Rattus norvegicus: one gene and its partners. The protein of the gene in region 1 purifies or fractionates together with the protein of each later gene. This does not show direct contact. Links are inferred from orthologs where the notes say so. Each region holds a gene or a part of one and is shown on either strand. Other genes may lie near its edges.

The links. The genes of interacting proteins can lie anywhere in the genome.
Region 2: the proteins of Cops7a (region 1) and Cul2 purify together in Homo sapiens (affinity purification with mass spectrometry; 3 studies listed by BioGRID and IntAct, with this or other methods). This does not show direct contact. The link is inferred for Rattus norvegicus from reciprocal best matches to the Homo sapiens genes COPS7A and CUL2.
Region 3: the proteins of Cops7a (region 1) and Cops8 purify together in Homo sapiens (affinity purification with mass spectrometry; 11 studies listed by BioGRID and IntAct, counting the BioPlex papers as one, with this or other methods). This does not show direct contact. The link is inferred for Rattus norvegicus from reciprocal best matches to the Homo sapiens genes COPS7A and COPS8.
Region 4: the proteins of Cops7a (region 1) and Dcaf11 purify together in Homo sapiens (affinity purification with mass spectrometry; 3 studies listed by BioGRID and IntAct, counting the BioPlex papers as one, with this or other methods). This does not show direct contact. The link is inferred for Rattus norvegicus from reciprocal best matches to the Homo sapiens genes COPS7A and DCAF11.

What each region holds. Positions count from the first base shown.
Region 1 is NC_086022.1:159,457,068-159,462,380, forward strand, and holds the start of Cops7a (COP9 signalosome complex subunit 7a), read right to left. Parts: upstream 3,107-5,313; 5' UTR 2,985-3,106; intron 2,964-2,984; exon of another isoform or gene 2,865-2,963; coding exon of another isoform or gene 2,851-2,864; intron 2,635-2,850; coding exon of another isoform or gene 2,592-2,634; coding exon 2,430-2,591; intron 2,076-2,429; exon of another isoform or gene 1,970-2,075; intron 1-1,969.
Region 2 is NC_086035.1:58,901,738-58,906,949, forward strand, and holds the start of Cul2 (cullin-2), read right to left. Parts: upstream 3,396-5,212; 5' UTR 3,240-3,395; intron 2,857-3,239; exon of another isoform or gene 2,707-2,856; intron 1-2,706.
Region 3 is NC_086027.1:98,653,121-98,658,425, reverse strand, and holds the start of Cops8 (COP9 signalosome complex subunit 8), read right to left. Parts: upstream 3,396-5,305; 5' UTR 3,346-3,395; coding exon 3,268-3,345; intron 2,398-3,267; coding exon 2,327-2,397; intron 1,315-2,326; coding exon 1,266-1,314; intron 189-1,265; coding exon 56-188; intron 1-55. UniProt on the Homo sapiens protein: Component of the COP9 signalosome complex (CSN), a complex involved in various cellular and developmental processes.
Region 4 is NC_086033.1:33,015,761-33,021,049, forward strand, and holds the start of Dcaf11 (DDB1- and CUL4-associated factor 11), read left to right. Parts: upstream 1-1,894; 5' UTR 1,895-1,941; intron 1,942-2,040; 5' UTR 2,041-2,253; coding exon 2,254-2,408; intron 2,409-3,880; coding exon 3,881-4,008; intron 4,009-4,572; coding exon 4,573-4,700; intron 4,701-4,955; coding exon 4,956-5,020; intron 5,021-5,287; coding exon 5,288-5,289. UniProt on the Homo sapiens protein: May function as a substrate receptor for CUL4-DDB1 E3 ubiquitin-protein ligase complex.

The DNA of each region.
Region 1 (5,313 bases):
TGGTCTGTCAGGGGCTCATTTCTGCTACTAACCCTTTGCTGTGCTACGCATCCGATTCCTATTCTCAGTCAGGGCTGAAAACTTTCAGTGTTCAGAGTAGCACAGGTGCGTGTGCACACACATACACACCAGACACTGTAAATTATGTGCCCCCCCGCCCCCCAGAGGGTTTGTGGCCATGGCTTCAGAATGTCCTCATAGCGAGGTCTTACGTCATCCACAGCACCTTCCCTCCTGTCACTGCCACTTATCCTGGCATGTCACTCTGCTGGTTCTCACCTAACAATGTTTTTTTTTTTTTTTTTTTTTTTTTTTTTTTGGTTCTTTTTTTCGGAGCTGGGGACCGAACCCAGGGCCTTGCGCTTCCTAGGTAAGCGCTCTACCACTGAGCTAAATCCCCAGCCCCAACAATGTTTTAACAAGGCTATAGACCCAGCATCTGCTAGCCTCCAAGGACCCAGAGCTGTGGCCTTCGAAGTAAGTTACTGATAAATTGCTGACTTGTATTGTTTTATCCATTTATCCGATCTCTTTCACTGGAACACAAGCTGGAAATGCTCCTTCTACCTCATCTTAAGGACATACTTTAGTTCACTGTAGAGAAAATCAGGGACAAAAGCCAGTTTCTTGTGAAACAGCAGTCCCAAAAAACATTCTATCCTCTGATTCCACCACGGGTCTTCTAATGCCTGGCTCAGTCTAGCCACACACTACTGTCACTCTCATGACAGGCTGGTGTCCCAGGATTGGCCATCCATCTGCTCTATACTTTTAACGTTCTTTTTTTCTTTTTTTTTTTCTTTTTTTTTTTTTTTCCGGAGCTGGGGACCGAACCCAGGGCCTTGCGCTTCCTAGGCAAGCGCTCTACCACTGAGCTAAATTCCCAACCCCACTTTTAACGTTCTTGACTCAGCCATTTCCCTGAATGTTCTCGTCACTGTGTTCATAGCAGTTTGCCACTGTCTTAGGGAAGACAGCATCTTCACCATCTACCTGGGGGTGGGGTAGGGGTGGGGGTGGGATTTACCATGGCATAACTCAAATGCCCATTCTCTCTGATTTTAGGAGACTCCAGACTTTCCCACAGTTACTACTGTAACTGTGAAGGGAAGTGCTTTTTTTCTTATTATCATTTACTTTATGTATATGTATACACTGTAGCTGTCTTCAGACACACCAGAAGAGGGCATCAGACCCCATTACAGATGGTTGTGAGCCACCTTGTGGTTGATGGAAATTGAACTCAGGACCTCTGGAAGAGCAGTCAGTGCTCTTAACCGCTGAGCCATCTCTCCAGCCCAGGTAGTGTTTTTTTCGGTTTTTCCCTCATTGGAGTTGTGAGAACTGTACCTATACTGAGCCATGCATACGACAAACAAGGGCTCTTTCACTGAGTACATCCCTACTCCTTTTTTGAGATGGGGTCTAAGTTGCAGAGGCTGGTCTAAAATTTGTGGTGCCCTACCTTAGCATCCCAAGTTCTGAAATGGAAGCCAAGGCCTCACAAATGCTAGGCAACCACTCTATCAGCTGTTTCAAGGTTCTCATCACCATTTTTTAAGGGAAAACTGAGACTTAATTAGGTTTTTCTGATCCAGGTGACAAGATTTGTTGTTTTGTTTTTAAGACACGGTTTCTCTGTGTAACAGGGGCTGTCCTGGAACTCAAGTCTGTAGACCAAGCTGGCCTCTAACTCAGAGATCCACCTGTTTCTACCTCCCAAATGATGGTGACAGGATTATTAAGAGGTATCAATAGGCACAAATCTTCAATCCCAGCACTCCGGAGGTGGATCTCTGAGTTGAACACACAGAGAGTTCCAGAACACAAGTTATAGTACACAGAGAAACCCTGTCTCGAAAAACAACAACATCAATAACAACAGTAAAGATATCATACTGGTGGACGAGCTGGCATTTATGAGTGGTATTGTGTATGACATGTTCTTTTGTTTAAAAATTTAAAATCTGTGTTTCCTTCAGCAGCACATATACTAAAACTAGAACGATCCAGAGAAGATTAGCATGGTCCCTGGGCAAAGATGACCTCAAATTTATAAAGCGTTCCACATTTTTAAATAAAAAAAAAATTTTTTTTTTAACTTCTGCATGAGGCATAGTCAAGAAGATTCTCAAGCATTCAAGGCCAGCCCAGATGACGATTACCAGTTTAGTGCAGCCAGGACTACGCAGTGAAACCCTGACTGAAATTGTGGGTACAGAGGAAGGGAGCAGTAAGTTTACAGACCCCTTTTCTGTAAGAGATACAGGAAATGAAGACCTTTTTTTGACTGCTTACTTTTCCAAGCTGACATCTAATTATCAATACCCTGTTCACCTGAGTGGCTATTGGTTACAAAATGAGCCCACCATTCTCAAGGAAACTTTGGTCCCGAGGTTCTTTTTGAATTACCCAGGCAAGCAACACACCTCTCTAACATTAGGCATATCCAGCAGTTCCCCAAACACGTAGACACCAGGGGCCTCCAGCACCTGGTGGATGAGTGTGGCCAGTGCTGCCCCCTTAGCCGACTTGGCAAGGAGCAGAAATTGCTCCTGGTTCTGCCCTGTCACCTTCACCTCCGCACTCATGGCTGCACCCTGGTGCGGGGCTCTGGCCTCAAGTTTTCTGGAGCTGCAAGGAAAGAGGAACGTAAAACTAAAGGTCCCTGAACCACGTGAGGGTGGTCAGCTCAAGGGTGGGGAACTGCACTCAAGAGGTACCACGTCACTTCTGCAGTGTGCAATTAGGTCAAGAAGTCTAAAAGCCAACTCTAGGGTTCCTTAAAGTCGGCCACATCCTGGCTGCCACGCCCACCCTCTCCTCCATCGGGGCAGTCCCAAGCCCCACCACGTGCATCCCATTGAGTTCCAGGACAGATGAGGAAGGGAGGGAAGAGGTGGCACATGGTGTCTACCCCAACGACGACGAACTCCCAGCTCTAAACTCGTGTCTTGCACGTGTCCTCAACCACGTGACCTCACCTTTTCGATCCTCACTCGTGGCTCCACCCCCTCCCTTAAAGAGGCAGCCCCGGGTCCGCGAATCTGTGCCCAAGGCCGGGTCGTACCCTGGGACAGACTGCGACCGACCGCTACCTGGAAGCCTCGTCTTCCAGCGCGCGGGGCGGGGCGGCCGCTCCGTCACCTCCGGCAGCGGCTCCCAGCCTTTCCTGCCACCTCCCCGCAGGGTCGCTCTAGCCACGCGCTTCTATGGCCAGTTTCCGGCCGCACTTCCGCTCTCGAGAGGCGGGTTCCGGCCGGCTATGGCCTGCTTCCGTTTCCCGACCGAAGGAGGTGAGAGAGCGACACCTAGCTTCCGCTCTGTCGATAAAGCTTTATTGGTGCGGGAGCGGTGGATGCCGGGTGTAGAGAAAATCCTGGCTCCGTGGAGGTCCTGGGTAGATGAACCGCCCGGTAGCTGCAGGAGAGGGGAGGAGGGCAGCGCCAAGTTCCTCCGGCCGCATGAGCGTTAGTGGAAGACGAGAAGATGCAGAAACTAAAAATAGGAGACAAACATGGCTAGAGTTTCAACGGTAGATAATTTAGGTAGTTCAACCACTCATGTTTTTCAAAGAGCAGAATAAAAAGTAGACAAACGTGGCTAGAATTCAACGGTAGATAATTTAGGTAGTTCAACCACTCATGTTTTTTAAAGAGCAGAATAAAAGTTTAAAATGCAAGGGGGCAGGGAGTGGTGACCCACACCGCTTCCCTGTGTTTTGGAAATAGAGGTAGGATCGGGAGTTCAAAACCAGCCCCAGGGGGTTGGGGATTTAGCTCAGTGGTAGAGCGCTTGCCTAGGAAGCGCAAGGGCCTGGGTTCAGTTCCCAGCTCCGGAAAAAAAAGAATCAAAAAAAAAAAAAAAAAAAAAAACGAAGCAAAAAATACATAGCAAATACCAAGCCAGTCTGGGCTACTTGAGAACCGGTCTGGAAAAAACAAAACAAACCCCCAAATGATTAAGGGGAAAGGGAAGTGTATTGGTCAGGCTTTTGAGGTTTTCTTCCGTTGGAATTTCAGACCACGTGACCAGACTTTTGGCCGATTAAAACCAGAAGGATTACTACACCTAATCGTTCTGGTTTTAATACTTGAATCTCAACAGGAGAAAAGTGTAAGTAGAACCTAGGCAGGTGAGGAAATTTAAAAGTTAAAGGATTCAGCTGGTTATTTGTAATCCCAACAGCCAGGAGACTGAGGCAGGAGGATTGCTATTAGTTGGGAGGGTAGCCTGTGCTACAGTGTGAGAGACCCTGTCTTAGAATACTTTAAATTGCATGGTGGTACACACCTTTAATTGGGTGGATTTCTGAGTTAAATCATCCAGCATCTTATGCATAGGGAATTATGGTATAGCCAGAACTACTTAGTGAGACCATGTCTCAAAATGAAACAAAACAAAAATACTTACAGAAACCATTTAAGGGGCAAATTAAGGTAAAGCCAGACTTACTGTTTCATAATCTGTAATCCCATTACTCAGTAGACTAAGGCAGGGGAATTGAAAGTTCAAGACCTGAGTTCTGGAAGTAACCCATGAGACAAGGGAACATAGGGTCCAAGTGCAGGCTTATCTGATTCCATTGCTTCCCTGCAGGAAAAACGAGGCATGGTAGTACATGCTTGTAGTCTAGCACTCGGGAGGCTAAGTCAGGAGGATCTTAGGCCCAGAGGCCATCTGGGCTTCGTAGTGAGTTCCAGGTTGAGAGTGGTGGAGAGAGAGAGGTTAGAAGAGGCTAAGAACACTGGCTGCTCTTCCAGAGGTTCTGAGTTCAATTCCTAACTACCACATGGTGGCTCACGAACATCTATAATGAGATCTGATGCCCTCTTCTGGCCTGCACGTGTACATGCATGAAGAACACTACATAATAAATAAAACTTAAGAAAAGAAAAAGAGTGGGCTGGAGAGATGGCTCGGGTTAAAAGCACAGGCAGCTCTTCCAGAGGTCCTGAGTTCAAACCCCAGCAACCACACGGTGACTCACAAGCATCTGTAATGGGACTTGATGCCCTCTTCTGGTGTGTCTGAAGTACAGCTACAGTATACTTATATATAAATTTTTTTGGGAAAAAGGCAATGGGGGGAGAAATGAGAGGTAATCTGATCTAGTTTTGATGTGCCCTAAACCACGTGACCTAGTCTGCTTTCTATTGCCATGTAAAAATCACTGGCCAAAATAAATTTCAGGAAAGATTTTATTTGGCTCTCAAATCCTGACCACAGTCTACCTGGATGGGAAGTCAGGGCACAAACTGAGCAGAGACCGTGAGGGAAGCTGACCATGGACTTGCTCTTGAGGGTTCACCT
Region 2 (5,212 bases), on another chromosome or scaffold:
TTTTATGAAAACTTCTAACTTTTTTCTTTTAAAGATTATATCTAAGTACACTGTAGCTGTCTTCAGACACACCAGAAGAGGGCATCAGATCCCACTACAGATGGTTGTGAGCCACCATGTGGTTGCTGGGATTTGAACTCAGGACCTCTAGAAGAGCAGTCAGTGCTCTTAACCACTGAGCCATCTCTCCAGCCCAAATTCTGACAAGTTATAATGAGGCTATAATTTAATGACTAACGATGGTTAACACTAAATGTTTAAGTCTATAAAAGAAAAGACTTTGATTAATTGAAACCTTCAAACTGAACATTTAACGTCTACACATTTTAGAATTTTAAACAAAAAGAGACAAAGAAGTCCACGTGCACTAGTTTTTAGTCAAGAACCATCTTGTGGGATGAAGCTTAGTTGGTAAGACTGCCTGCCTGGCCACTCATCCTAAAACCATGTGTGGTGGCACTTAGGATGCTGAGTTTTCAAAGAACATGCATCTGAGCCCACAACGCATGCGTACCAATAATGCCAGTACTTTCAGGATAGGGTGTAAGAGAAAAGGCTAGCCTGAGCTACACAGCACATGTAACAGGCCTGGGTTAACTAAGCACACAGTCGAAGAGGGCAAAGATCAGATCAGAAGCTTTGCTCTTCCCTGTAGGCTTCTCCATCTCCCTGTTTTTCTTTAGGTGTCCTTATCCCTGTTTGTAACATTTACTATACTATCAGAGTGTCCACTCGTAAGGTGTGCTACCGTTTTTCAGACCCAGTTAAAGGCACAAAAACAAACCTTTGGAAATGGTCCACCAGTTAGCAAGACTGATAAGACTCCCTCGATCCACATTTCTCTCCCCATGTTTCATGAAGACATAGATCTGTCTAACTTTTCACTATTCCAGTTGTCGGGACCAGAGCTGCTGCTGCTGCTGCTGCTGCTGTGTGAAACCCACTTCAAATTAAGGAGCAAACTGAATGACTCCTCCACCTTGGTACTAAATGTTGCGCTTGGACTGAATCAACTCAAGACACCTAGTCCAACTCTATCCTCAACTCTGTATGTACTGTCACCCTCCCGTTGAACCCCAAAACCCAAGAGATGCCCACCTCGAACAATTCCACTTTATCATGTTCAACAAGTACCTTCAACACATCTGGAAACCTTGCTACTTGTCCTTTAAGGTTCCAAGGCGGTGACCCCAGGGGCGGTGTCTTCTGACATCAGCAGAACGTACACCAGACTGTTACTATCTACTTCTCAAGATCTAAAACTTGAAATGTTTCTAAGAAACTAAATTCTGGCCCAATTGAGCTAGAGCTTTAAACCTAAGCCTCAGCCTCCCTCACAGGGCTTTCTCTTGCTGAGCTGCTCCTGGTGAGCTGGACTCTCTCTCTCCCTGGAGCTTTTTGTTTGCATTTCCTCCAGAGTTTCTTCAGAACTTCCACAGACCTGTGCTTTCTGGCCTTTTCAAATATGTCAAAGGTCACCTAAGCGAAGCCTTTTTAAACCACAGTATCCGAAACGATTTTTTTTTTTTAACCAATCATTAGAATTCCTTATTTCCTTCAGAGTGTTTCTAATCTATGTCTCTCCATCTCAGCCAGAAGGAAGCTTTAAGAAAGCAGACATTTAGACAGACAGTGCTGGCCACTGATCTATCTCTTGAATTCCAGGATAGTCTAGTCTACAGAGTGAGTTCCAGGACAGCCAGGGTTGTTATACAGAGAAGCCCCGTCTTGAAAACCAAAACCACAAAAAGGAAAGAAGTTAGGAAGGAAAAGAAAAGAAAGCAGAGATTTCACATTCGGTGCTCAATTATATATGATGAAAAGCTAAAAGACACTAACAAACAATATAAATACAGAAAATTAACGAAAGCGGGGCCTGGTGGCACCCACTTGTAACCCCCGCACCTACTGAGGTGGGACTCCCAAGAATGTGAGGTTAGGGGGCTACACAGTGAGTACTACACCAACTAAGGCTATACAGCACAACAAGAGAGTTGGGAGTGATGCCACATGCTTTTAATCCCAGCACTAGGGAGGCAGAGGCAGATGGAGCTCTTGGGAGTTTGAGGCCACCCTGGTGTACATGGTGAATCCCATACAGCCAGGGCTACATAATAAAGACCCTGTCTGAAGAAAAATCACCACCCCCCAAAAAAATTACCACACCTTCCCACAAGTCACAAATAGCAAGAGAGGGATAATAACTAAAAACTGTACCCCACTGTTAATTCATTTGCAACTCTCTGGGAAGGTACGTCCAAATACTGTATATGGGCAAAAGAGTCAAAGTTAAGCTAGTTAGATCACTTTTGTGTCTTGGAATGACACATGGGATAAGAGAAATAAAGTGATCTCCCATATTGTGTTATAAATATGGGTTTGGGGTAAGTTCTAGGGCAAGAATATTTTCTATTGAAAACTCAATAAGGAATACACACACAGACACACACAGGCACAGACACACACACACACACACCTTTTTTTTTTTTTTTTTTTTTTGAGAAGGCGATGGGGTTGAACCCAGGGCTCCTTGCATGCTAGTCTAAGTGTTGTAGCACTGAGCTACATCTGCAACTCAGTAGTTTGTGTCTTATCTGCAAATTGAAACTTAGAGGCTACTGCCATCTGCCAATAATAGTAACCAAGGAGGACGGGAATAACTTATAATAACAATGCAAATTCAAAAGATGTTCTACATGCACTCACGGTAATGGTAAGGAAGGGTTTAAGAGTCTAGTATGTAAACAAATGCTGGAGAGAATCTAAGGCTCTTATTTCACCAGCCCATAAGTGTTGAGGCAAGAGGTGTAGCATGCACGTAGAATACTCCTCCCCAAAGCTATCAATCTTCACTGTCTGCGGAAACAAAAGTGAAAATACTCGTGGCTAGGATGTATGAGATTGATGCTACCCCCTTCTACAGAGACTTTGGTCTCCGTGTGAGCATGTAAATGTAATCAGGAAAGCACACTCTCACCTTCCCTCCTTAGGAGGAAAATGAGGCCGAGGGAGGGGCGGCCGGCAATGGGTCGGGGAGGCCCCGGATCTGGTCCAGGGTCAGCTTGGCTTAAGGGTCAGCAGTCTGGGGAGCCGAGGTCACTCACAGGACACCATCTTGCCGGGCCTCCGGCTCTCAGCCCGCTCCCCTCCGCCAGGTCGCCCCATCCCCGCCACCCATTCGCCGGGAAGGGAAGTTTCCCTGCATCCGCAGCCCAGCTCCCAGCTTTCAACCGGTTTACCTTCTGCAAAAGCAGGGCGAGGGCAGGAGCCCGGGGAGGGAGGCAACCCGCAGGCGTGAAGGACGAAGCCCCCGGCTCCGAGGGTGGGCGGCGGCGGCTGTCAGCTCGCGTTCCCCGGCTCACAGCGCTGCCATTACTGTGCGCCGAGGCCGCCTCCCCGGCCGGCCACCGCCACCGCCCCAGGGCCACGGGGGTGCCCGGAGCAAGGCGCCGCCACTCACCTGCTCCCGAGGGAGCCTTGCAGACAAGGCCGCTGCGGCGAGGCGCGACGAGGTCAAGGGAGGAGGGCGGGCTGGTGGCGGGCTCCAGGAGGCAGTCGTCCTCCGGGGCTCCGGGCTTTGCCCGACACACGCCCTCCGCTCCGCTCTTTCAGCCTCTTGCACTCACACACCCGCAGGATGCAATGGTCCAGTCCAGGTTACGGCAAGCGCAGGGAGCCAGCCTTCCTGAATCGCGAAGCTCTTGCAATCAATTGACAAAGTATTTCATCTTCCAGCATACTTGTCAATGAGGCAATCGCAGTTCCCTGAGCTCAAAGGGGTGCAGTACCCAAATTTGGAAACGATTTCTATCGAAATCACACTGGAGGGTGGAGTCTCTGCTTTATTTGTATGTGATTTTGTGATTTGTAATTTTGAGACAGTGTGTCTAGCTTAGGCGACTCTTGAAAGCCTGACTTTTTATAGCCCGGGCTGGTACTGAACTAGCAATCCTCCTGCCTCAGCCTACTCAGTAAGCCACCAAGCCTGCCTCCTATTTTTGCATTCAGTCAAATTCAAAGACCTAAACATCTCTTGACAACAATAATAGGTAGGCCCTCCCCACCCCCAAGGACAGTGTTGACAAAAGCAGGTGGCAGTTACATATCACTGCTACATGCAGAAACACAAGAGAAAGGCAAGCAAGCAAACAAACACACGCCTTTGTTATTTAATTACTTTTCCAATAGAGAAGACATCAGTTTTACCTCTTAGGCTTCGTTCAATTAGTGCCAATCCTTTAAAGTCCACTTAAAACCCTATCTTCTTGCCCGGTATGTGGCTTTAACCTTGTAATCCCAATATTTACAAGGTCAAGACCTTAGGATAGAAGTCCAGCACCTCCTCCTCTACGGTGATTCCCTGTCTCAAAATAAAATCCTCTCAAAATAAAATCCTATTTCCAGAGGTGATGAAATCTACCAAATTTTCTGGGAAAATTTGGCAGATCTGGTGGCATATAGCTATTTTCCAAATACTTGGAAATGGTCAGCAGCAGCATGATCAGCGAGTTCAGTGGGTTCCAAGCTAGAGAGCTATACAAAACATGTCAAAAAGTAAGATCCTGGTGGCGACGGTGGTACATGCCTTTAATGTGGATCTGTCTCAAAAATCCAAAAGAAAAAAGAAAACAAAAGAAAAGAGAAATAAACAAACTAACGCTACTATAATTTTGGAATTTACAAATATTTTCTCCAAAATAAATTACATAAAGGCTTAGCATGTGCGAGGTTCTTGTCTGACCCTCAGCACTGCAGTAAACAATATAATATAATGGACCATTACTTAACAAATGACCAACCTCATAAAGGATTCCAGTGGGGCCTAGGACATGTTTCAGTTGGTAAAGGCAACTGCTCTAAGCCCTGTGACTTGCAATTGATCACCTGACCCCACATGCCAGTAAAGAATGGATTCCCAAAGTTGTTCTCTGACCTCCATACACATGTTGTCGTAGATCACCACCACCACCACCACCACCACCCTTGCCACCATTCTAAAAACTAATTTTAAACGAAAAAAATCGTTTTTGTTTTTTAAGACAGGGTTTCTCTGTGTATGTAGACCGGGCTGACCTTAGAACTCAGAGATCTTCCTCCCTCTCCCTCCAGAGTGCTGGGATTAAAAGTACACACTGCGGCCACCACCCAACAAAATGTAAAATTGAGAGGGATTTAATTACCATACCAGTTCCAAAATCAAGGAGCCGGCAGG
Region 3 (5,305 bases), on another chromosome or scaffold:
AGAGTTCCAAGGACAGCTTAGTGCAACATGGCTTTTAACCGCAGGAAAATGCTACCTCTAAGGGCTTCCATGATTGGCTGCACAGTCTCTGACCACTGGTGTGCGTTGATGGTCGTATAGATCCCAGGGAAGTCTCTTTGCCAGATTCGCTGTCCTACTGACCAAATTCCCCCAAGTTCAGAATTTGCCTGCAATAAAAAGTGTTGTCTTTGAAGGTACCTGCTCTGTAATAACGAACATATCTTCAAAAATTATCAGAAGTGACAGAATTTGTTAGCTGTATCATTAAAATACACTCTATTCATTTTAGGAGATGAAATTACTTTTCTAATAGATGTATCCAGCCCGCAGGTCACAGGGCCAACAACAGGTATAAAATGTGAAACCTTTTCTTTTTGGTAGCTTGCATGCCCAGTTCTAGACTATGAACTCTGCAAATAACATCATTTTGCAATGTCCAAAGGTTGGATCTGCCTGATTCTAAAATGCTGTGAGCAGTTATGTCAACAATTTCTATAATTAATGTTTTTATTGCAACAACATGAGAAAGTAAAAAAAAAAAATTTCAGAATGAAGTCTGGGGATCAATTATCATAACTAAGCACTGCTGCTTAAATTTAAGATGCTAGCACTTCTTCATGGGACAAAACTACCACCAGAAAGCTGATTAACAAGGCCCTGTCAATTAGAGCCTACTTGCAGAGTTCCCATTCATAACAGCTCATCTGTTTCATTCTTATAAAGAGAATGGGAAAGGAAGTGAAGTAAGTCTTACTTCATTCTACCTGGCAAGACACCTTTCTCAGGTCATTTCATTTCATCTCCATCCCAAGTAAGAAAACCAACTAACAGAGTGAGTGTGATCTTAATACAGTGACTATCCATGTAAATAATGCCAGTTTACAAATAGACATCATTACAGCAAATTAAGTAGTCTGCTGAAATTCCTCAGCCCTTCAGCCACCTCCTAGACCTCACTGGCCAGTGTGAACAGACCGGTCCACACGGCAGGCCTCATAAAACCATCATTACATAAACAAGATTTCTGAACCTCCCCGTTAGAGACCTGCTGGTCTGAACCTCCCCATTAGAGAGACCAGATGGTTTGAACCTCCCCGTTAGAGAACCTGCTGGTCTGGAACCTTAATATTCACTCAACAGTGGCTTCAGTGATATACATGAGAAAGAAAAGAGGAACTGGATGCTGTCATTTAAGTAAATGCTAGTATTCTAAAAGCAACAGGGGACACTGCAGGAGTACTTACAGACTTTATAGCAGGTGGTATCCTCTTCCAAAGATATCTTGCATTATTCCTAATGTACACAAAGATCAGTTTAAGCAAGTCATCTCAGTCAATATACAGAACGATAGGACCTAATGTAAACGCACAATAGAACACCTACCAAAAGAGGCCACGGCACAACTCAGTTCTATATGAATTTGTTGAGGAAAAGCGGTTTTCCAGAAAAAAGGACATGAAATAACTTTTATTCAGGGTAATTTTTTTCATTTTTTTTGCTGAATTTTTAAAAATTAACAATTCAGATCCTAAACTACAGCAACAGATTTAAACCACGGACTTAGATACAAATGTGTCCATTTAAAGGCTCTGAGTGTCCCTCTCAATATATGTGTTATATTTTTGGAGCCATTCTCCTACTGAGTGCAAAGGGGTTGGAACAATCATAGGACACATGATCACAAAGCAGAAATAACTCATGTATGTATAATGAAGAAACTGAGCTTAGTTTCTGTAAAAAATATCACAACGGGTTGTTCGGAACCACACCAGGCCTCTATTCTCTAGCCCTCTCAAGCTTCTGCTTCCCACCCAGGAAGACTAATTCAAACATATCTAATCCTTCCTGGCTCTCCCAGTGTTCCCTGCCAGCTCCAGCTTCTTCGCTTCTACTGAGTACAAATTTGCTTTGCTTTGCTTATTTGATTTTTTGAGGCAGGATTTCTCTACGTAGTCCTGGCTGTACTAGAGCTGGATCTGCAGACCAGACCGACCTCCAACTCAGAGAGCAGCCTGCCTCGGGCTCCCAAGTGTGGGGAATTAAAGACATGCACGACCACCACACAGTCTCTGAGTAAACATAAGTTAAAAAATAAACACCATTGTTTTTATGTTCCATTGGTTCGTGATGCTAGATTCTCAAAAAAACTTACCATGTTTTTTAGGGGTATATAAAACACACACAACAACAACAAAGAAAAATCTAGCTTAATTATTCATGTGACTGAACAAGAAACAGATACAACATATTATGGTAAAGGTAACCTATCTGTTACTGCATTATCAGTGCAAAAGGCACTACTTACATGTCGTTCTGCAGCAAATACAAAGCGAGAAGCTGACCATACACTGGCGGCGTGGCGATTCCTCCAGGAGCCTACATAAACAAAGGGGGGGGGGGTGGGCACCTTATTTCCCAAAAACGTTCAGAAAAAAGAAAATTAAAACTTAAAAAGTAAGTTTTCTAGTACTACAGATGCAGACAAATGCTGAGGGAAGTACCACAGATGAAAATCTGAGCTTAGATGTTGTGAGCTGTTATTGATCCCCAGTGAGCTATCAGTTTCTTTCCATATTCACAAATATGTAATGCCATCACCTGCTGAAATTCCTCAGCCCCTCAGCCGCCTCCAGCACCTAACTGTCCAGCTGGGAACAGGCCAGTCCACACCAGCACGGCAAGCCTCATAAAACCATCATTACATGCACAAGATTTCTGAACCACCCCGTTATTGAACTAATTAGTCTCAAATTTAAAAAAAAGTAAGAAATACTTCCAACAGGTTCTTAATGCACTATTTCTCTGCCCGTTATTTTAAAAGGTTAAGTAAGATTAAAACAGAAGACTACCAACGGGTAGTTATGGAGGTCTCTGCTCAATCTTTATTCGTTCAACATGGTCTGCGGTCTGCTAAATGCTCATCGACAAGCTGCTGCTGTCCCCTTCAGTCGGTGAGCCCCCTGCTCTCCCTTTTATTTTTTGTTTTGATTTTTCGTAGCCCAAGCAGGCATCGAATTTACCAGCAATCCTCCTGCCTCCGCCTCACGTGTGCCCACGGGATTCCTGTGACACTGCACCCAGCTTATTTAGTGAACTTTTTATCTTAACATTATAAATGGAAGTGTCTCCTGATTATAGCCAGAAACTGGGGCTTGATGAACCCGGACTGTGCTCCTAGCAGGCCGCGGCCTGGCCCGTTACCCTGGAAACGGGCGCCCACCCGACCGCCGCACTTTGCCGCACTACCTCAAGCTCCTGGTTCTCGCACTGATCCAACAGCTTTCTGAAACTGAAGGCGTTGTCCGCCATCACCGCCACTGGCATCTTCCCGGCCGCTCTCGCCGCCGCCACCCCGCCTGACCAAAGCACAAGCTGGCCCTCGGGGCGTCGCGCCCTCGATGACGTAAGAAGCTGGCTCTCCGTACGCATGCGCAAATGTGTCGTCATTTCCTAAGCGACGCCGTGGCTGAGAAGCAGGGCAGCGAGCGCTCTGCCCCGCCACCTCGGTGCTCTGGAGGACCTGCTCCAGACTTGGAGGAACCGGCTTTCTAAGACAGGCCACTGTCACTGGGAGGGGCTTGGCTGCGGCTTGGATTCTCCGCCCAAGGAAGGAAGTGATAGTGGGACTGCATCTTTCACAGCCACAGTCGCCGTGGGAGAAAAGTAAAACCATTGGACCTCCACGTGTTTTGAGAACGCTGAACTGTACTTCTAAGCTAAGGTGTTAAAGAGGAAACTCTAAACCCGAAACTCTTCTTGGCTTGTGCTATACACACATCCCTTTTCTAACAATGCACTTGGCAGCCTGAGGATCTCACCTACACCTACTATTCACACACACACACACACACACACACACACACACACACACACACACACACACACACACCTCCTTTTCCGAACAACTAACACACACACACACCTCCTTTTCCGAAAATTCACCTAGCAACTGTCAGAAAACCAGGACCCCTGTCCACAACCTGTGTGGAGCTTGCAGGCACATCCTCTCCAAGTAATGGGATAAGTTTCTCCTCTCTCTACTGACCTTCAAACAGATTCTATTCACTGATACTTCAGTTATGTACAGTATGAGGGCAGGAGGTCTGATCTAACCTGAATTGGTTTTAGGTGACTGCCCAGGAAGGTAAATCATGTCTTCTAAGTGAATTTGCTAGGAGAAACTCCTATTTACCGTCTTGATTGTGCATGCTTGGGAATGCATTTGATTAAAATCAAATACATTATGGGAAGAGATATATACAATGGAAAAAGGGAGGTAACATAGCTAAAATCTTGCAATCATAACAGAGTGCAATGCCTCTTAGCAATCAGACTCCTTCTTGAACTCCATAAAAGCCCCGAACAGTAATTGGGACTCTAGTATGCTAGCTCAAGTGGCCAACTGTCACTCATGACAACGTATTTCTTTCTAATCTGTAGTATGGCTTTGCTTTTGCATAAGGTTTCCTTGCTACTTTGCATATCTGGGTGCCTGAATTTCAGTTCCGGGCATGAGAGGTAAAAACACCTAGCCCATACCCTGACCATTCCTCAGACATGGGAAGCGGATACCAACCAATGGTACGGATACCAACAACTGCCCCTTTGCTGTCTTCTTGGGCAGAACTGGAGATTGGAACACAGGCTTTGTGCATAGTTTTAACACTGAGCTGTACCTCCAGGTCTCCTTTTACTTACTGAAGACAAAGTCTTACTAAGTTGCGCAGGCTGGCCTTGAAGTTTTGGAAAAGCTCCAAGCCTAACTCTCACTTCTCTCTTTCTACCTGCCTCAGTCTCAGTAGACCCCAGCACCATGTTACCACCTGTGTATGTCTCATGCACACACACACATACACACTAGAGGTGAGTGAAGTCTCTCTAGCTTGAGCCACTGGTGTGCCTGACCTTTCCTGGTCTCCTGATAAGCAAGTGCTCCTTGACTCTTCCCTGTCCGATGTCTTTTCTTTGAAGCCCAAACCATACCTTTTTGTTTTTCTGCTCAAATTCATGTGAACAAAAGTTCCCATAAAGAAGCTACCCCTTACTAATTGACAGACTGGTAAAGTTTCCCAGGTTGGGAAGAGGTTGCAAGGTTGCAGGTTCAGAGTACAATTGTGCTTTATCCTGGCCTATCTTCAGTTCCCTTGACAGCTAGTCCTATGCCTACTTGTGCCTAACCTAGTAGCCCTGTGACTATTGAGTGAAACCTTCCATGGGCTGCTCGCTCCTCAACTGTGAACACACTGCTTACTCAATTATGCTGTGACTCACTTCCCTTGTGTGA
Region 4 (5,289 bases), on another chromosome or scaffold:
AGATAAGACATTGTGAAAAGGTGCAAGAGTAGAAATAAGACACTTATAGGCACATTTGATTGGAAGACAAAAATTTTAATAATTTTTAAAAGATTTTATTTATTTACTGTATGCACGTGAGTACACTGTGGCTTTCTTCAGACACAACAGAAGAGGGCATCAGATCCCATTACAGATGGTTGTGAGCCACCATGTGGTTGCTAGAAATTGAACTCAGAGGACCTTGGCAAGAGCAATCAGTGCTCTTAATCACTGAGCCATCTCTCCAGCCCTAGATAAAATTTTTAAATGAAGTTAGTAATCAGGTTGGGAAGTCTGTATTTGAAGTAATATATATTAAAAAAAAAAAACGGAAAAAAATCACTGGTCAGCTCTTAAGAACGAAATACTTTTAAGAGGATACGTGAGCAGATCAACAAATGGAAAAAGTCTCAAGTGTGGAAAAATGGCGACTGTGAAAATAAACCTCAAGTAATCAGTTAAAAAATATCTACAGAACATATAAGAATTTGAGGAGTAGTAAGGAAGGTAAAATACTTTCTAAAATTATTACAGACTTTCCAGACCAGATAACCCAGATAAATAGGAATCCTGAAAGCTCGGTGTATGTTAGAAATACCTGTCCACATAATTAATGGAGACCAGCCAAATAACAAAATGCTGGGCGCTTGTTTACAGTTAAGAATTTTACAACCAATGGGCAGTTTAACCATCGTCAGTGTGGACCGGGAGAAAATGTTGGGGTCTCCGGCCTAGAGACCAGGGGAAACCTTACAGGACCTGTCACAAGCTGGTCCAGGGTGCTGAGGTGTCCTCACGGTGGCCCTGCTCTGGGCCAAGGCCAACGTCACCAGCCTCTACGCTCCCTGGCCTGGGAAACCATCCCAGACAAGGTAGGGCTCGGCCTTGGACTCACCCAAGTTATTCATAAACCCGCAGGAGGCGGCGCGCGATTGAAGCCTAGGGAAGGTCGGCAAAGCCCAGACCCAGGGAGCGCGTGCGCACTACGCAACCGGAAAGACTCCGTGGAGGGCCGCGACATTTAGGGAGCGTCTGCAAAGACCAGGAAAGGAAGCCAGGGGTCGTCTAACAAGACCGCCGCGGGTAAGCCGGTACACAGCAGGATGGAAAGGCCTGGGTTCCACCAGTGAGGACTGCTTTCGACAGGCCGCTGGCCCTACAGCCAGGGAAAAACGGTTGAACTGGGGTTGCTGGGAGCTGAGGGAATAGGAGCGGCTGGGCATGCAGTAAAAAAAAAACACTCGAGGCCAAGCGACCTTAAGGGACCACCTCGCAGACTTTACGTCTAGCTCCGCTATCTCTAATGCAGGCCGCAGCCAATTCCAGTCCGCTACGACTTAACGCCCCCCCTTGGGTTAAGAAATTTCTCCAGCCCACCCATCAATCACCGGTCTCAGCTGTCCAATCAGCGGACCAAGGGGGCGGAACATCGAGGAGCGTCGAGTGACGTCATCAGGCCTGGCAGTCAGAGGCGTGACGGACGAGGCTCGCGACTTAGGAGCTGTTAGCCGGCGCGGCAGCGGTAGGCAGTGTAAACAGGGCCTCGCCCCTGCGGGTCCTGCGACGGCTCCTGGCTGGTGAGTGACCTCGCGTGGGGCGGTAACCGCCAGACGCCGGGGGAGGTGCTTCTCCACTTTCCCTCCCCCTGTTGTACACACCCCCGGCGCACCACGTGGGTGTGAAGCTAAACTGGAGGGGGTGTTAGGCTGACTTCTAACCTCATTGGCTGTTGCTGCTGCCGGCTCTCAAGAAATTGCTCTGATTGGTCAGCAGAAGGGGGCGTCGGGGGTCTGAGTTCTAACGCTTCTGGTTGGTTGTGTGAGATAAGCTAGTGAAGTGCGTTCTTCCGCAAGGGGTTTTGATTGGTCAGTCGGAGAGGTTATCTGGGATTCGGCCACCCTGGGCCGGGGACTTTGATAGGTGAGTTTGGCTAGGAAAATGAGAAATTCCTCTTCATGGACTCTCATTAGTACGGTAGGGTTGCACCCTAGGTTTCATGTGGCTTTCTTTGCTTCACAGGATTGAGGAAGGTTTATGTTCCCGAAACCTTGGGAGCTGTCATAGCTAAAGAGAAGGAAATCTCAGTCTCCTAGAGGGGTCACCCCTCTAAAGATAGCTTCTGCCCCGTTTCTGGAAACCCTGATATTTCTAGAGCAGGATTTGCTTTCACCAAACCCAATTTGGAGACAGGAGAAGTCCCTGCACAGGATATAAGGATGCTGTAACCAGAACATGGGATCACGGAACAGCAGCAGCGCAGGATCCGGGTCCTTAGAACCCTCCGAGGGCTTGTCCCGAAGAGGGGCTGGCCTGCGTCGTAGTGAGGAAGAAGAAGAAGAGGATGAAGATGTGGATCTGGCCCAGGTACTGGCCTATCTCCTCCGCAGGTAACTTACCCTCTGCTGTGACACTAAGTGTCATCCCAATATCTTGACCTCAACTTCAGGCAGGAAAAGTGCAGAGGATAGGGAATGGTACTGTCCCAGGACAACGTTTGTGTTTGAACAGGACCACCTTTCCCTGCTGGATGTCCATACTCTCTATGCAGCTCCATACCCAAAATGGTTCTTACCTAGGGCACGGCTTGAGGGACCTCTCAGGGGGAGTCTTTTTGGCTGTGACAACACAAATTTAATCTGTTTTCCAAGAAAATAAAACAAGAAATGGAAGAGGGATTATGGAGGAAAGGAGAGATGTGAGAAGAGTTGGGAAGGGGGTGTTAAATCACTTGCTATGTGAGATGAAGCCATGTGGATTTACTTGAAAAACAAGTTTACATCGACCTTACTAGCCCTGCTCTTAAGAAAAGAATGCCCTGAAGGGGGTGACCACCAGGAACTAAGAACGACTTGAATATTTGGCTTTGTTTGCCTGCCTGTGGTTCCTTGGGAAAAGATAAACCTAGTATCCCTTGGACATTGTGTTCTGTGCTGCATTCCTACAGCAACGGCTGTGAGAGTTGTCATTGTCAGCTTGACAGGGTCTGGAGTCACCTAGGGGACAGCACACCTAGGAGGGATGGATTCTTTAGCCTCTCTGGGCAGGTCTGGAAGGAATTATAGCGATTGGGTTCGTTGATTAGGAAGACCCACACTGAACATGAGTGGCACCAGTGCTTGGGTGTGGGTCCTAGACTGTATAAAAAGGAGAAAGGTAGCTAAACACAACCATTCATCCTGTCCTCTTCCCTGGTTGTGAATACTCTGTAGCCAGCTGTTCCTGTCCCTGCTGCTTTGACTGCCCCACCATGATAGACTCTGCCCTTGAGCCATGAGCCAAAATAAGCCTCTCTCACTGAAGGTGCTTTTGTTGGGGTATTTTATCATGACAGGAAAGGATACTAAGGAATAGAGATGGAAGTGCTTTCCTGATTCTTAGCTCTTGAACTTGGGGTATAGCTTTGTGGTAGAAGTTTATCCAGTATGCACTGAGCCCCTGGGTTCAGTCCTTAGCCCTGAGACAAATCAGTTAGTAGGTCAGTCTTTGTAGCCTGTTAGAACTCTGTGCTCTTACTCAAGAGTTCAAACTAGTTCCCTACTGTGTCTTTTTGTGTGTTTGCTTTGTTTTGTTTATTTTTGAGGCAGAGCTTCTCTGTAGCCCTGCCTGCTCTGGACCTCACTCTGTAGACCAGGCTTGCCTCGAACTCACAGAGATCCACCTGCCTCTGCCTCCCAAATGCTGGGATTAAAGGCATGCTCCACTACTGCCTGGCCCTACTATGACTTCTGGAAACTTAAAATCCAACTTCAAAATGAGAACCAAATGTACTAGGAGCTAGACAGCCATTGACTCCAGCCAGATAGCCATTGGTTAGATGGGAGAAGGGATCCCCTCCTTTATAATGGGGATCTCTCCACAGAGGCCAAGTGAGGTTGGTGCAAGGTGGAGGTGCAGCAAATTTACAACTCATCCAGGCCCTCTCAGACTCAGAGGAAGAGCATGACAGTGCCTGGGACGGTCGCCTTGGAGATCGATACAACCCACCTGGTAAGAGGAGAGGCCATCTAATGTTTTTTGGGTTTGTGTTTTCTTTGTTTTTCTTTCTTTTTTTTTTTTTTTGATTATTTATTTTATGTATATTGAATACACTGTAGCTTTCCCAGACACACCAGAAGAGGGCATCAGATCTCTTTACAGATGGTTGTGAGCCACCATGTGGTTGCTGGGAATTGAACTCAGGACCTCTGGAAGAGCAGTCAGTGCTCTTAACCACTTTCCAGTCCCTTGTGTTTTGTTTCTAAGACTGGGTCTCTCTGTATCCCTGGCTGTTCTAGAATTCTCAGTTTAATCCAGATCTGCCTTCCTCTGCCTCCCAGGTGCTGGGATGAAAGCCATGCATAACTGACAATCTGATCTTAATGTTGGAAGATGTTCACTAGACTTTTTTACCTTTAAAGTGAATCAGTCTTCTGAAGCTTAGTATGTTAAATGAAAAGAGAATTCAGGGGACGAGGGAATCCTTGTAGCCAACCACATGGAGTGGGCACAATTTTGCTAGCTCATGTCTGGGCTGTAAGTCCTGGAACGAAACTTCTTTTTTGGTACTCACAGTGGATGCAACCCCTGACACCCGGGAGCTGGAGTACAATGAGATCAAAACTCGGGTGGAATTGGCCACGGGGCGGCTAGGACTCGGGAGGACTGCTCAGGAGCATAGCTTCCCTCGAATGCTACACCAGGTAGGCCTTTCTGCCTCTCGTCAGCCTGGCAGCAGACCTGTTGAGGCCAGAAGTTCTGCTACCTCCTGAAAAAAGGATGTAAACCTCCAAGGAAACCTCACGTGTGGGGGCTCGAGTGTGTTAGCAGCCTGCATCCTGGTGCTCTGGGCTGTTTGCTTTTTGTAGCAAGAGAAATACCCTTGGAGGAGGGGACTGGGTGTGATTACAGTGGCCCTCCAGTTCTGCTAGCAATATTCCCCAATCCCTTCCATTTAGAGAGAACGGGGCCTCTGCCACCGGGGAAGCTTCTCCCTTGGAGAACAGTCTCGAGTGATGTCTCAGTGAGTATGGGGTTTTGTGGAGAGACCCTAGGGGCCAGCTAGACCTTATCTTCTATACTTGGAAGGGTGTAAGTTAAAGGTTTCTCAGAAATATTAAGACTAGTTTGAAAGGGGCTGAAGATGTGAAAGTAAACGAAATAGAGAAGTATGAAGACTGACAGGACAGACAAGGGGATTATATCCAAGGCCAAAGGGATATGCTGCATTCCGTTCTGCTGAGTCCTTCTCACTCAGAGGTCCCCTCTCCTTCTCTCTCCCCTTCTCTAGCT